4 linked regions of the Arabidopsis thaliana genome follow. The protein of the gene in region 1 interacts with the protein of each later gene in a pairwise test. Each region holds a gene or a part of one and is shown in the gene's direction. Other genes may lie near its edges. The genes, in order: NAP1;3, IBH1, AT4G31985 and AT3G02190.

Region 1 (5,550 bases):
TGGACGATTTAAAAATCTTTATTGGGCTTGTATCATCTTTGATGTTAATGGGCTTCCTGATTTTGTAGGCCCAATGAATCCTTCAACAAACGGCGTCGTAATAAGGATCCAAACCCTAAAAGATTTATGGATTCAGAGTTTTCGAAATTGGAATTTCTCACTCTCTCTATCTCTCTTAGCCAGCTCTGATCATTTCGATTTTTTTCCGGTGAAAAGGGAGGAGAAACATGGTTGTACGTATCAGACTGTCGAGATTTGGATGCAAAAATCGGCCATTTTTTAGGGTTATGGCTGCTGATAGCAGATCTCCAAGAGACGGGAAGCATCTTGAGGTCTTAGGTTACTTCAATCCTTTGCCAGGTGATTGACAAAACAAAATGTATTCCAATTGGTGTTGTTCGTAGAGTTTTCGATTAAAATACACGATCTCTTGGTCTATGTGTTCAGGCCAGGACGGTGGTAAGAGGATGGGTCTCAAGTTCGATCGAATTAAGTATGTTTCTTCTCATCTAATTCTCTAGTTTCTTATGTTTTTTTCGGTAAAATCAGGTAGGTTTTGGGTTGAATTTACTCAGAAAGAGGTCTCTGAATGCTTCACTAGATGATTAAGGCTTTTCTGCATTTGAAGTGTTTTGGTTAATTGCTAAAGTTAGCTTCTAGCCGCCTCTAGATATCTTAATGCATTGTTGTATAGTCAACATTGTGTTATAGTTAACTATCTTTCGATCTGATACAAAGGAGCTGAGTTCAGTCTTTGAATGGTTTTTGTTATCGAAAGGCGAATGAATCTACATGTTTCCCATGGTTGGTTTTGATCACTTTCTTTCTCTTCATGGTATTGAACCATTAGTTGAAGCAATTTTCTACCTCATTTAATCACTAACTTATGAAAGGAAAAACTGAAATATTTGTGGAAATTCATCAACAAGTTTTGTTATATAACAAATGAAACTTCTCCGCCAGTCTTGAGTCTTTCTATGGAACTTCTGCTCTGAGTTCTGGAATTGTTTCTTATTAGTGTAAGATGAAGAACCTGTTGATTATCTATTCGTATACACACTTACTTACATTCTTAATTGTTCACCATATACAACCTCTTTTGCATAATTGTATGGTCATGTAGCTTTAGAATCTTGTCATGCTCTTTATCATCATCTAAAATTAAGATTATAATGTCCGGATATTAGAAGAACACATGTCAAGACTACTTAAAAGTTAGATCCTGGTCTGTCTTTCTTTTGTTCTGAATGACTAGTTTCAACAGAGGATGCATATAGTTTGATTAATGGACATTTTGTTTGATTCTCTTGTTCTGTACAGGTACTGGTTATCTGTTGGTGCTCAGCCATCAGACCCGGTTCAACGTCTCCTATTCAGATCCGGTTTACTTCCTCCTCCTCCAATGGTGGCTATGGGACGTAAAGGTGGAGCACGAGACACACGCCCAGTTGATCCGATGACTGGTCGCTATGTGGATGCAGAGAATAAAACAGTTAATGCCAATGATAACCAGCCTAAGGAAGAGGATACAGAAGCCAAGAGTGCATGATTCATTAGCCTTCTGTCATCGTAGCTTTTCAAGTTCACTTTGTTGTCGATTATATTGTGTAATGCAGCATTAGACAACTGACTTGTTTCCTTTGTTTGGCGATAAACGGCAAGGTGTTTGGCACTTTTTGCAGAAACGGCACATATTTTGCATTGGGATATTTTAGATTTTAAAAAATGAAAAAGTAAATAAAAATGCCAGCGAGGGAATTAAAAAAAAAAGAATGGCAGTTGTTAGGTTTAAATTTTATAAAGGAGGAAGCCACGTTTTGCGTTTAGTCGCCACCCAGAAAAAACCCTCAAGTCTTCTTCTTCTTCCTCAATCTCTCCACCTCTTTTCAAACCTTCTTCACACTCTCTCTCAATCAATCCTTTTTCTTCTCAAATCTTTCAGTTTTGATCTCTAAATTTCCAGAAAATGAGCAACGATAAGGACAGTTTCAATGTCAGCGATCTCACTTCTGGTAAATCTATATCTCCGATTTTGTTTCTGCGGCTTTGCTTCTTCTTAGTCAAAGTTTTAGAAGCTTTTTTGTTTGTTTGCAGCTCTTAAAGATGAGGATCGAGCTGGTCTTGTCAACGCTCTTAAGGTGAGTTTCTCTATCTCTTCTTATATCGATTTGCATTATACTTGAAGAGGAACATGTAATTTGGGCGTTTCGTCATTTTATAGTTTCTGTGGAGATTTTTTTGTAACTGTTATGTGTTTGATTCACAGAACAAGCTCCAGAATCTAGCTGGACAACATTCTGATGTGCTCGAGAATCTGACTCCTAAAATTAGAAGGCGTGTTGAGGTTTTGCGGGAGATTCAGGTTTGGGAAAACTTCCATTCACTTTTTATGAGCTCTATGCTTATGTTGTGATTAACGTTTCCTATATAAGCTTTTGTTCAATAGATTGGTGTAGATTGATATGGTATCTTGTGAGTATGATGTTGAAATGTATATTTGTATGCTTTTGATTATATGAGAATGCTGTGCATTCTTTTGATGATTATCTGAGAATCCTTTTCGTTTTTTAGGGCAAACATGATGAAATAGAGACAAAATTCCGCGAGGAGAGAGCTGCTCTTGAAGCCAAGTATCAAAAGTTATATCAGCCTTTGTATAACAAGGTAATTTGGTTGTAGCAAGATTAAACTATTTTGAAAAATTTAGTTATCCTGTATTTTCTTTATTTCCAGCTGTGTTGGCTTTAGTTAGCTTCGAATTTCTCTTGACACTGGCTTGACATTTGGAATGTGCAGCGTTATGAGATTGTGAATGGAGCTACTGAAGTTGAAGGGGCTCCAGAGGATGCTAAGATGGACCAAGGAGACGAGAAAACTGCAGAAGGTACTCTCTCTCTCTCTTTGCCTTTGTAAATTGTAATCATTCTTGCAAGAAAAAAACAATTTGCTTATTTCACCGGGCTGGATTGCAGAGAAAGGAGTCCCTAGTTTCTGGCTGACTGCTCTGAAAAATAATGATGTTATATCTGAAGAGGTTGGTGTTACATCTATGATTGTTCATTTAGAGTTACTTAATCATATCCATGGAAATTGACCAGAGTTTTAATTTCTTTTGATTTCAGATCACAGAGCGTGATGAAGGAGCCCTTATATATCTTAAAGATATCAAGTGGTGCAAGATTGAAGAACCAAAGGGATTCAAACTTGAGTTTTTCTTCGACCAGAATCCTTACTTCAAAAACACCCTATTAACAAAGGCGTATCATATGATTGATGAAGATGAGCCTCTGCTTGAGAAGGCTATTGGGTAATTGTTGATAACTTTTTTGTAATATTTATTCCCTAGCATATTTTGTTCTGAGATTCTTCCAAGGAGCTGCGGAATCTTGTACTGACTTATGCACTAACATGGATTTTGATTCTTTGTTCTTTGTCTCAGGACAGAGATTGATTGGTATCCTGGAAAATGCTTAACTCAGAAGATTCTTAAGAAGAAGCCTAAGAAAGGTGCAAAGAATGCCAAGCCAATTACCAAAACTGAAGATTGTGAAAGCTTCTTCAACTTCTTCAATCCTCCCCAAGTTCCTGATGATGATGAAGACATTGACGAAGAAAGAGTATGATATCATTTGGTTTTAAGACAGGCCCTATTTTGACTATGTTTGATTATACTTTTGTAGTAATGTTTTCTGTTCTTGGTGCAGGCCGAGGAACTTCAGAATCTGATGGAACAAGATTATGACATTGGGTTCGTCTTCTTGAACATAAACTCTGTCAATTTAATATATTCCGTCTAACTTATTACCAACTGTATAAGAGCTCTAGCTAGCATCTTTTATCGGAAAGTTAATACATTATTTAGTATCTGATTCAAGTATTCCTTGCTTCTTGCAGTTCTACAATCCGGGAGAAGATCATACCTCATGCTGTCTCATGGTTTACTGGTGAGGCTATTGAGGGAGAGGAGTTTGAAATAGACAATGACGATGAAGATGATATCGATGAGGATGAAGATGAGGATGAAGAAGATGAAGACGAAGATGAGGAAGAAGACGACGAAGATGAGGAGGAAGAAGTAAGCAAGACCAAAAAGAAGGTATTGGATTCCTCTTGTTTCATTTCTTCTTGTCATGGAATTACCTTTTCTGAGTTAGTTACTAACTTTTTGATATTGTGTTGAATGTTTATGCAGCCATCAGTCTTACACAAGGTACATAGCCATATTCCACCCTTCTTATAGTATTTGTCTGAGTTAATTAGATAATCCGATACCAATGAGTCATACAACGGTCATAAACTATTGACATTTATAGGCTAGACCATGATCTAAAAAGTAGAGAACATGACCCGTGAATTAGGAGATAGCTGAAATTAACTGATTAAGCTCACTATGCACGAATCTGTGAATCATAGAAACTTGAACTCTTATATGACTGAGAATTATAAATGAAACTATGTAGAATCCTTCTCATGCATATTTATAAGCTTAGGCTAAATCTAGTACTTGCAAACCATTGTGCTATGTTTGTGATAATGAGATGGATTCTATAGTCATACTCTTTTTGAAATCATATTGCAGAAAGGAGGGAGACCTCAGGTTACCGATGATCAACAAGGAGAGAGGCCTCCTGAATGCAAACAACAGTAAACAAAATCGAAAAGTCTAAACGAAAACCAGTAAAAGAAAAACAAATGTTTTGGGTTTTGAGTGAAGTTTCATGGCCTAGTTTTTTGCTTCCATGTAAGGCAAAATGTTTTGAAGACTGCTCATAGGAATGTTGCTGTAGGCAAAAGAGTGAGTTTCTCCATGTGGAGATACTTGATAAATTATTTTTGGTGCATTTGTTTTTTTTTTTTTTAATCACTAAGTTGAATTTTGGTGTGTTCGTCAAAATTATATCTTTTTACCACTTGAATTAAGTCTCTTTTGGTTTCTTTAATTTAAAAATAAATAAATCTTATCATTGTTTTTTTTGTGTGGACATAAGTGTATTATTCTTATTGTAAACCAAGAAAAAAGAACAGAAAGAAATTTGTTTTCATGTAGTTTCTTCTTCAATGGGTCGATTAGTATTTCATTATGGTCAAAGTCAAATTAATCACACACCGTGACCATTAGCAATTTAGCATTAGTGAGTGTCGTTATTCGTTAATAAATCAATTAATTGAGTCATTTAAATAGTAAACGTTAAAATCAAAGATGCACACGAAAGGGACTCTTTCTATATACAGAAAAAAATATATGTACTTGTTTTAATAGTTGATTTTGACTCCAAATGGAATTTGCTGATTCTACCAAACAACGGTTTTGGATTAATGCGTATTTGTTTTTGAATATTTTGCTTCACCGTAACAAATCATGTCCTCTCAAGGACTGAAGATTCTTTTATCAGTTAATTACAAATACAATTAGTGCTAATGAATCATTTCACATTACCCTGAGGTTATCAAACTATTGACTTCAAATCTTTGTCGTCCATTGACTTTTTTTTTTTTTACAGCTTTGTCGTCCATTGACTATAAATGTTATATTGGAGTATTGTTTAAGCG
Region 2 (3,751 bases), on another chromosome or scaffold:
CAGTGCTTACGTGGCTTTTCACACGTTCTGATTTTCAACATTTTGTAAATCATTATTACTAAATGACCAATAGCATTTATTCTTTTGTTTTTGTTTTACATTTTTAGTTGGGATATTTTAATCAACTAGTATGATAAAGTTTATTCGCCCCCAACGACTTATTATTAAATTAAGAAGAGAATCAAAGAAAACGAATGGTGTAGTTAATATTAATTGAATAATTAGAACAAAAAAAAATTAAAGATAAAGATAAGAGAGAAAGGAAAGTGGAGGTGGGTAAAGGCCATAGCCATGTGCCTTCATGTGGTGGTTGGCCCATTAGTGGACCTACTCTACCACTTCTTCAACTCTTTTTTAGTTCTTATTATATGATTAACACCTTCTTATTCATTTGGTTTCACTCCTAATATCAACAATTTTGTAAATTGTTATTGACCCGAAATTGTTAATCTTTAAACGTATTTTTATGATAGATGTGAAATTTGAAACCTTAGAGAAAACAGTGAGATTTAAGGGATTTTGGAGCTGAATCTTGAAAAAAGATAAATATGATCATGATGATGTTATACAAAAGAATTAAATGGCGTGAAAAATACGTCCGGCGGCAAAGCGGTAGGGGAGAGAGTGATTAACACAAAAGAGATGGGACTAATGCTAAATTATAGCCTTAACCAAACACTTATCGTATTCCTCAAGTCTCTCTTCTCTTCTTTTATATTTTCATGTGTTGTCTTTTCTAAATTGGTTAGTAATATTTGGTGTATATAAATTGTAACGTCATCTATTGGTCAAGCCAATTGAATAATCTCATATTTTGTTGTTGCTCTCTTGCATGGTGAATACTTTGTTATATATCTGATCAATTTTAAACACGTTTTATCTTGATGATGCGAGTGGCTAATTGATTAAGTTTATTAACACTTTATATCGTCGAAATAATCATAGTTATTCTCAGGTTCAATGGTGTTACTTTCTAAACTAACGTATAGTTCAAACTCAGTTTCGAATAAACATCCTCAATCAGTCGTTTCACGAGAGTTGGATTTTGGCTGAATTTTGTTTGTGGAAGTAAATATCGAGCAAGTAATGAATCAATTAAATTGATATTTTGGGTTTTGTTATTTCTTTTGCCTTGAAAATGAGCTTATATGTTTTCCACAATCGATCATATTCCATCTTAATCGTCATTAGTTGTCAACTAATGTTAACATAAATACATACATATATGTATATAGCTTACCTAATTTTATCATAATAGTCTCTATTAGCTGTTCACGTTAATGAATTCATACGCATTCGTCACTAAATTAACCTTTTATAAAAACAAACAAATAAACATAATAGTGTGGTTGGAATCTAATTCCATAATCTGATGTCTGCTCTAAATTGCTCTTTTTTCCGTTAATACCAAGCTATGAACCAAACGAGCTTGATTAATTTGCGTCTAGTACTTAAACATCATCCGAATTATTATTTTGTTTTAGCTAAGATGTATACGAGCATTAATGCTATATATATTGTATTTGGGTGTAGTATACATTAATATTTCAAATTTCAAAATAGTCAAATATATATACCCAAAATAGCCAAGTTCTGTTAATCTATTGGCATCAACTTTTTTCTTCAAGCTCCAAAACATCGTTTTCCACTAATTGCCCATTTATTTATTCAAGACTTTATAACACTAGGTGTAAATTATACTTTTCCGAAATACATGGGTTATACAATTCACATTTCATTTTAAAATTCTAACACATAATGATATATTTACACATCTAAGTAGCCACCAGTAAGCAATCGATGTCAAACCACTAAACCATAACAGACGAATCTACAAAAAATTTGAACTAATATTAGTAAACCCCCAAAGTTAAACATAGAACTGTATTTATTTGCTGTTCACCATTGAAGAAAACTGCCACTTATAACTTCATATTCTCATATTTTTACGCAACGTAACTTTGACGGACCAATTAAGCTCCAAAATTCAATATTTCAAAGCTATTAACACATCTTTTTTTTTTTAGAACATGAGTTATAAATAGTTGAACCTATAGTTTAAATTTAAACTTTATAGAGAATTTGAATAGTTGTGTGTCTTGTGACATAAAAAAACATAAAGAAAAGTTAAGTACAAGGAAAAATAAACATTATTTATTCCTCTCTATCTCTCTCTCTCTCTCCACCTTTCCATTTATATTAACCCTAATATTGTGTCATTCTCAAAAAAAAAAAAGTTTTATAAAGGTTCTCAACTCAAGTTCTCTTCTCTAAAAAACCCAAACAATGGCCTCTGCAGACAAACTCATAAACACAGATGTCCCTGAAAAGGACGTTTTTGCCTTCCACTTCCTCCAATCCCTCTCAAATCTCAGAAAACAAAACCCTTTTGATACTCCGGACCAAAAAAACTACCGCGTGAGGAAGATCAAGAAGGCTGCGTACGTTTCCATGGCCAGAGCAGCCGGAGGGAGTAGCCGGCTATGGAGCAGAGCCCTCTTGCGTAGAGCAGACAAAGATGACAACAAGATCGTAAGATTTTCAAGGAGGAAGTGGAAGATATCATCAAAACGGAGGAGGAGTAACCAGAGAGCTCCGGTGGTGGAGGAGGCGGCGGAGAGGCTGAGGAATCTTGTTCCGGGAGGCGGAGGAATGGAGACGTCAAAGCTGATGGAAGAGACGGCTCATTACATCAAGTGCCTTAGTATGCAGGTCAAGGTCATGCAGTGTCTCGTTGATGGCTTATCTCCCAAATGATCATCAATTAATCATCAACATCATCATCAATGATCGATGTATATAGAGATACGACACATACATAGTCTATTGGATTGGGGTAATCATAACGAATATATATGTGTATATATATATATATATATATATATATATTCTTATATATATACATACGTGTAAGATAGGATACATATATGAAATGTGTGGATATGTATTAGTCTCGAAGTAACGAAAGATTTTTTTCTTTTTCTTTTCTTGAATTTTGATAAAAGGGGATTTATTATTTATCATATGCTATGGCCGGTTTAAACATTAGGGCTTGGTAACTTGCCCTTGTCATATGATAAAAGGGGATTTATTACTTATCATATGCTAAGAGAATTTTCTTTCTTCTTTTCTTTTAAGCTATGCAATTTACTTGGTTCCTCTTGATTGTGTTATTCGTCAATGATGTTTCTATGGATGGATTATATATATAAAGTTATAACATATTAGTTATAAGAAAATTATAGCGGAATTATAACTATCATAAAATATACATTCTGTATTTATATATCTCCTATACATATACGACTGTTTATGTTTTTGAGAAAATATATGATAAATCTAATAATTTTAAAAATATATATTTATAGAATTATGAATCATTTAATTAAATGATTTTTTTTTGTTTAACACGGAGTTACTTGAATAAGTCTTAAAAATACTTGACATTATATAGGTTAAAGAATTTTGTAGAATATATATAATTTAACTCCTTTTTTGTTTTGTATAACTCTTTTTTCAGGTAAGAGAGATTTTTTTTTTTGTATAACTCTAACATTTCATGATTTATGTCGGATTGAATTCAAATGGTCGCTCACAACAACATTATTAACAAAAATTACAAGACTCTGATTACTTGTTTTCTTTATAATCACATTTTCCGTTGGAAGGATTATCTACACGTCTTATTTATGCAGTTGGTCATACTTATATTTCATACGAGTGTCCTACTTTAATTTGTCAATTATTATAC
Region 3 (3,265 bases), on another chromosome or scaffold:
GTTAGCCTTTTTATCTTCTCTTTCCACCAAATGCTGTATATACAAGGTACCTAATAAGCTCCGCAGACTCAATCCTGATGCATATACGCCTCGGCTTGTGTCTTTTGGCCCGCTTCATCGTGGTAAAGAAGAGCTTCAAGCTATGGAAGATCAGAAATACAGGTATTTGCTGAGTTTTATCCCTAGAACGAACTCTAGTCTAGAGGACCTTGTTAGACTTGCTAGGACTTGGGAACAAAATGCTCGCAGCTGTTATGCAGAAGATGTGAAACTTCATAGCGATGAGTTTGTTGAGATGTTAGTTGTAGATGGTAGCTTCTTGGTTGAACTTCTTTTGAGGTCTCATTATCCTCGACTTAGAGGCGAGAATGATCGCATATTTGGCAATTCAATGATGATCACCGACGTGTGCCGTGACATGATTTTGATAGAAAATCAGTTACCCTTTTTCGTTGTGAAGGAGATATTTCTTCTCTTGTTGAATTACTACCAACAAGGAACACCTTCAATCATACAGCTCGCGCAACGCCACTTCAGTTATTTCTTGAGCCGCATTGATGATGAGAAGTTTATTACAGAGCCAGAACATTTTGTTGATCTTCTGAGGTCTTGTTATCTGCCACAGTTTCCAATTAAATTAGAATACACTACAGTGAAAGTGGACAATGCACCTGAAGCAACAGAGCTTCACACTGCTGGTGTTAGGTTCAAGCCAGCAGAGACCAGTAGTTGTTTACTTGACATTAGTTTTGCTGATGGAGTACTGAAGATTCCAACCATTGTCGTCGATGATCTCACGGAATCCCTCTACAAAAACATCATTGGGTTTGAACAATGTCGTTGCTCAAATAAAAACTTCCTCGACTACATCATGCTGCTCGGTTGCTTCATTAAATCCCCTACAGATGCTGACTTGCTCATCCACAGTGGGATCATCGTAAACTATCTCGGGAACTCAGTAGATGTTTCAAACTTGTTCAATAGCATCAGCAAAGAGGTTATCTATGACAGAAGATTCTACTTTTCGATGCTCTCTGAGAACCTTCAAGCTTACTGCAACACACCATGGAACAGGTGGAAGGCGATTCTGAGACGTGACTACTTCCACAATCCTTGGGCAGTTGCTTCTGTTTTTGCAGCTTTACTTCTTCTCCTTCTCACTTTCATACAGTCCGTATGCTCTATCTTGGCTCTGTAATAAGTCTATTGGTCAATAAAACTAAACATTTGGCTCTGTATCTTAATGTGTCAAAATTATCTTTGGTTTCACAATGATCCATGAGATGGCACTGCTTAAAAGAACCAGTTGGTGTAGAAGTGACACTAACAACAGTTCCAGGCAAGATACGCAAACAAAGAAATTATATAGTAAATAACTAAAGTGACTAAAACTGATGCTTGAAACTAGGATTGGAACCTATTAAGCACACAATGTACAATTGCAAGAAGAAGTAGTGTGTTTTTAGAGCCTACAGATGTCAAAATCAGTGATAGAAAAGAACAGCTATTTGTTTCACAGACATGTGAGACATAAAGCTTGCTCTAGGATCAATCACGTCCTACGAGCAAGTACAAACATTTGTAAATCAATAAGAGTACAAAAGGTTATATCAGAGCTTTCGTAGAACAGCCATTTCCCCCAAAATCTTACAACAGGAAATTTCGTTGTAAGAAATGTTGACTTCTTGAGTGTAGAAGTGTCAAACTTGGGAACGTGACCAATAAAAAATTGACGTTTCGCTACAAGACTAAAAATCATGGGCCTTGGGCCGAAACATGAAACCTAAAAAGACTGTTATCACATAAAAAGCCCAATAAAGAAGACTTTACTAGGGTTTCATCGTTTTAACTTCTTAAAAAGGTTAGTCGCCTCTTCTTCGTATTTTTTGCCTCGCTGAGCAGCTGCGAATCTCACGACTTCAAGATGGTTAGTCTCGCTCTCTCGCAAATTTTTAATCTTTGTTACAATCGTTTGTTAGTTTCGCCTGTTTGGATTGATTAAAGAGTTTGATTTGTTGTTAGTTAGATATCGAAACGAAATTAGTGATTTTGATTTGTGTTGGAAAAATGAAATGTAACAGCCGTCGCACAAGTCGTTTATGATTAAGAAGAAGTTGGGAAAGAAGATGAGACAGAACAGGCCTATTCCTCACTGGATTCGTCTTCGTACCGACAACACCATCAGGTTCGACTATTCTTGTTTTTTTTTGTCTATTGTTTATTCCCTGATCTATCAAATTGAAGATATATTTAGTTGTGTTAGTTGATCGATTTAGTTCTAAAACTGATTTCATTGTGTGGTTAATTTCAGGTACAATGCCAAGCGCAGGCACTGGCGTAGAACCAAGCTCGGATTCTAAGTGATAAGCCTTCTAAAAGAGTCTTCTTTATCTGTTTGGTTTAGCATTTCCTCAAGTCTTCTTTTTGTTTTAAGTTATGACATTTTCATATTTCTGTAAGACTTTTACTCTATTATGATTCATGTTACCAAATTTTCTTCGTATTGGGAGTTGTTTCTTAACATTTGTGTGATTTGACTATTGAAGTATCTCTTGGTTTGCTTCCATGTAGAGTTGTTTCTTAAGAATTTTTTCTCGCAACCTAGAATCTGGATTGGGTTTAAATTTAATCATCTACTTGCGAACTAGAAGCTTTAGAATTTCTTGCTAGTAATTGTACTGGTTTTAATATCTAGTGGTTTTGAATCTTTTGATAATGTGATAGTGAGTCGATGCTTCTTATAGCAGACAATGTGGAATTGCACTGGTATTAAGATAGATCACACTGTACAATCTGATCATTTCTGTTGTAACTCTTCCGGTCAAGTATAGTTGTGAAATTATGTAAAATACAATCGTAACAAGTTCTTCTATAACTCGATGGGAGTCTCCCAATACAACAAGGCCTGTCAAACACGATCAAATCAAAAGTTTCCTTGAAAATTGTCTAGCAATCATAGTGTGATGCTAGCTTATTAATTTAGCCATCTGGTTTCAATCAAAGATCAAGAAGAAGCTAAAAAGGGTATATAAAACTGTTTCTTATTGTCATCTACTGAGATGGAAGCTCAGCTTACGTTATGGTATGAGTCGATGATCGCATCAGCAAGATACTCGCATTTGGCCAGAGATAATCCGGCCAATGATATCCTCCCGTCTTTAGTCATATACACATGCCATTTGTCCGTCATGTTATCGCTCTGCTCGTTACCAAAAGAAAACAGCACAAACTTCAAACCACAAGTCTAAACAAGGCCAAAGGGAAT
Region 4 (2,905 bases), on another chromosome or scaffold:
GAAGTTGGTAAACAGGTGCATATTTAGCATCCTTTTCCAATTGTGCTACGGCTGGCAAGTCCAATAAATCACACTGCAAGATTTAAGATTGCCATCGTTGAAATTCCAATCAAATATAAAAGAGCAGTGTCAGGACAAGAAAGACAAATCCAATTCACATTATGATACCTGGAAAATACTGGAAGCTTTGACAAATTCGATAACTGCACGCACAGCCTCCTCCTTGGCTTCATCCAGGACCTGAGCATCCTCATTGGAGAAAGTTGCTAGGTACTTCGTCAAGAACTTAAGGGATTCATTCACCAAGCTGGAGTATTAATAGAAAAAACCATGAGGCTATTGTTATACCCAAACGGAAACAAAAAAAGAAAGAGACAGAGAATGACTGATGAGCATAGTTATAAAGTATAAATTATGTTTCAATACCTTTTGTTTTCTTTCAGCACATTAGCAATGGCAAGAAAGAGTTCCCTCTGATCTTTAATGTCAATATTCCACTCTTTCAGAAAGTTATCGATCTTCTTAAAAGAAGAAACTATGTACTCAGTAACCTTCCCATCAACAGCTAGTGTAAGAGCTTTCATGTATACTTGAAATCGAGCATACGGGTGGTCAACCAGGTTATAGAGATTGAAGAGGCTACACAAAGATTAAGACAAAAAAAAAATGAGAAGTGTGATAAATGAGCAAAGCATTCAGAAATAAGCAGAAACGATTCATACATCTTCAAACGAAGTGAAGCTTTGTCACTGGGTTGTTGAGCAACCTTGGAAGCTATAGCTTTCACCATTTCAAGGACTTGCTCAGGGCTTTTCGCATTCTTGACAATGCTGCAAATGATGGTGTAGGTACACTCAAGATCTGAATTAAAAAAAGATGCAAATCACTGAGAATTGAATACTCGAAAGACATACAAAATAAACAGGTATAAGTAAGAATAGGAACACAAACCTTTCTCAGATATCTTAGAAGATACCAATTCAGCTGAAGTGACCATTAACGAAGACAATTCAAGCCACTTCTCTGCTACCATTGACTCCTCAGCCTCCCTACAGAGCCTGGTAATTTCTGGCTCTGCTGCCTAAAATTTGAAACGATAACTAGTTAAGTACAGGCAAGCCTTGAAAACTTAAGAAGTCGCTTAATGAAACTAATCTTAGATGGTTGAACTAATCGGATGCATCAGAATCCTCAAAGATTACAAACTATTCTAGTCCAGAAACTATCAACAAACCCTTCCATAACCAATCAGATTCTTCGAACGAAACAACATATACCAGATCAAATTTCCCATCTCACTTAAGATAGACATTCTTAAATTCCCACTATAAATTCACAACCAAGGTGTGGAGGTTACCTCGGGACCAGCATCGGCCCAGGCGAGCTGGGAAGTGAATCGGACAACAGCGAGAAAGGGATTTTCTTCGGAGGTGGGAACAATCGTCGTCATAGCTTAGCTCCGGTTTCGAATCTTCTCGGCTGCGCTGAAGAACAAATGCACCACAATTACAACTTGTTTCAGCAGCCGACCAGCAGAGACAAGAGAGAGAGAAGAAAATGAAACCCTAAATCTCTATATTTTTTTCTTTTCCGGTTAAAGGTAACCGGAACCGAATACGATTCCTAAATTAACGGTTTACCTATCTGACGGCTAATAAATTATGAGAAAACTCCAACGGTCAGGATTGAGCTCTAGTCCACAACCCTTATAAAAATCGATTTCTTCCTCAGTTAACATTTGAGAAGATTAGGGTTTAAACGCTGCCGTGTTCCGCCGGATCGCCACCGTTGAAGTCAAGATGGTACTTTTACTCTCTCCCTCTCTGTATCCTTTGTTCTATCTCTCTTAAATATTTCCTTCGCCTGATCGATTTCATGGTCTCTGATATTAGCCGTCGCACAAGTCGTTCATGATCAAAAAGAAGCTAGGGAAGAAGATGAGACAGAACAGACCGATCCCTAATTGGATCCGTCTCCGTACTGATAACAAAATCAGGTTTATAGATTTTCGTAAACTTTTTTCATTCGATCCGTGAAAAAGTTGCAGACTTTGATACTGAGTTCCATTGTTCCATCACCTTCACACAGGTACAACGCTAAGCGTAGGCACTGGCGCCGTACCAAGCTAGGATTCTAGAGCACTCTCACCGTGACTCAGATTCGTCCGAGTTTCTTAATTGCTTTCTTGTATCGGAATTGTGGTCTTTGACCCCTAAAAGTTTTAGTTTTTTGTTAAGGATTTTGTGGCTTATAGCTATGTTTAAATCTTAGAACTTGAAGAAGAGTGCATGATTATGAATTATAATAGTTGAATCCTTTCTCCTACAATTGGTCGTTGATTTGACTCTGTTTCTTTCTACTCTATGATAAAACGTAAGTATATGGCTGAATTCGAATCATTTCTCCTACGATTGATCAGAGCTTTGAACATGGCTGATTCAACGCAAGATCTTGTGGGCATTGTTTGTTTCATTTGATATAGATCTCTTGGTTGATCAGTACTTAGTTTATTTTCTTGGAACTCTTAAAGAGAACATTGTCTGAAAATTCCTTTTAACAAGACAAAGAAGAGAACAAAAGGCAAACATCACAATTGAATCACACAGGGTTCACTAAGGGATAAAAGCCAACACTTTTGATGATTTACACGAATCTGAATAGTGGGAAAAAAACTACAAGTAACTTCATTTGTTTCCAGATCCAGCAGGACTTGGTCCTCCAAACAGATAATCAAGAGAAGATCCTCCACCAGGAGCTGCATGAACCTTAGTAGATGGCCTGTCCTGTTCTCATCAACAAACATTTTTGGTTTTTATCAGTTTCCAAATCAAAAGTCAATTCTTTGATCTCAAAACTTTGTAAAGACTAAAGATCTCCTGTTACCGTGAGAAAGTTTCCACAGTTT

The links.
Region 2: the proteins of NAP1;3 (region 1) and IBH1 interact in a two-hybrid assay, tested with the Arabidopsis thaliana proteins (one large-scale study listed by BioGRID).
Region 3: the proteins of NAP1;3 (region 1) and AT4G31985 interact in a two-hybrid assay, tested with the Arabidopsis thaliana proteins (one large-scale study listed by BioGRID).
Region 4: the proteins of NAP1;3 (region 1) and AT3G02190 interact in a two-hybrid assay, tested with the Arabidopsis thaliana proteins (one large-scale study listed by BioGRID).

What each region holds. Positions count from the first base shown.
Region 1 is NC_003076.8:23,030,652-23,036,201, forward strand, and holds NAP1;3 (nucleosome assembly protein 1;3), read left to right. Parts: upstream 1-1,797; 5' UTR 1,798-1,966; coding exon 1,967-2,012; intron 2,013-2,094; coding exon 2,095-2,138; intron 2,139-2,266; coding exon 2,267-2,362; intron 2,363-2,571; coding exon 2,572-2,664; intron 2,665-2,796; coding exon 2,797-2,884; intron 2,885-2,972; coding exon 2,973-3,034; intron 3,035-3,122; coding exon 3,123-3,307; intron 3,308-3,439; coding exon 3,440-3,617; intron 3,618-3,704; coding exon 3,705-3,748; intron 3,749-3,894; coding exon 3,895-4,096; intron 4,097-4,192; coding exon 4,193-4,210; intron 4,211-4,579; coding exon 4,580-4,648; 3' UTR 4,649-5,042; downstream 5,043-5,550. Other genes in the region: AT5G56940 (Ribosomal protein S16 family protein), read left to right, coding at 228-360, 448-493, 1,321-1,549. UniProt on the Arabidopsis thaliana protein: May modulate chromatin structure by regulation of nucleosome assembly/disassembly. May function in nucleotide excision repair (NER). Involved in somatic homologous recombination. Could be involved in response to abscisic acid (ABA) and to salt stress.
Region 2 is NC_003071.7:17,906,961-17,910,711, forward strand, and holds IBH1 (ILI1 binding bHLH 1), read left to right. Parts: upstream 1-2,046; 5' UTR 2,047-2,286; coding exon 2,287-2,757; 3' UTR 2,758-3,250; downstream 3,251-3,751.
Region 3 is NC_003075.7:15,468,007-15,471,271, forward strand, and holds AT4G31985 (Ribosomal protein L39 family protein), read left to right. Parts: upstream 1-1,834; 5' UTR 1,835-1,924; coding exon 1,925-1,927; intron 1,928-2,081; coding exon 2,082-2,185; intron 2,186-2,311; coding exon 2,312-2,360; 3' UTR 2,361-2,727; downstream 2,728-3,265. Other genes in the region: AT4G31980 (PPPDE thiol peptidase family protein), read left to right, coding at 1-1,198; ASP5 (aspartate aminotransferase 5), read right to left, coding at 2,870-2,905, 3,077-3,199.
Region 4 is NC_003074.8:405,237-408,141, reverse strand, and holds AT3G02190 (Ribosomal protein L39 family protein), read left to right. Parts: upstream 1-1,654; 5' UTR 1,655-1,799; coding exon 1,800-1,802; intron 1,803-1,892; coding exon 1,893-1,996; intron 1,997-2,088; coding exon 2,089-2,137; 3' UTR 2,138-2,386; downstream 2,387-2,905. Other genes in the region: AT3G02200 (Proteasome component (PCI) domain protein), read right to left, coding at 1-73, 169-307, 427-639, 723-861, 952-1,081, 1,358-1,450; SP1L3 (SPIRAL1-like3), read right to left, coding at 2,685-2,783, 2,884-2,905.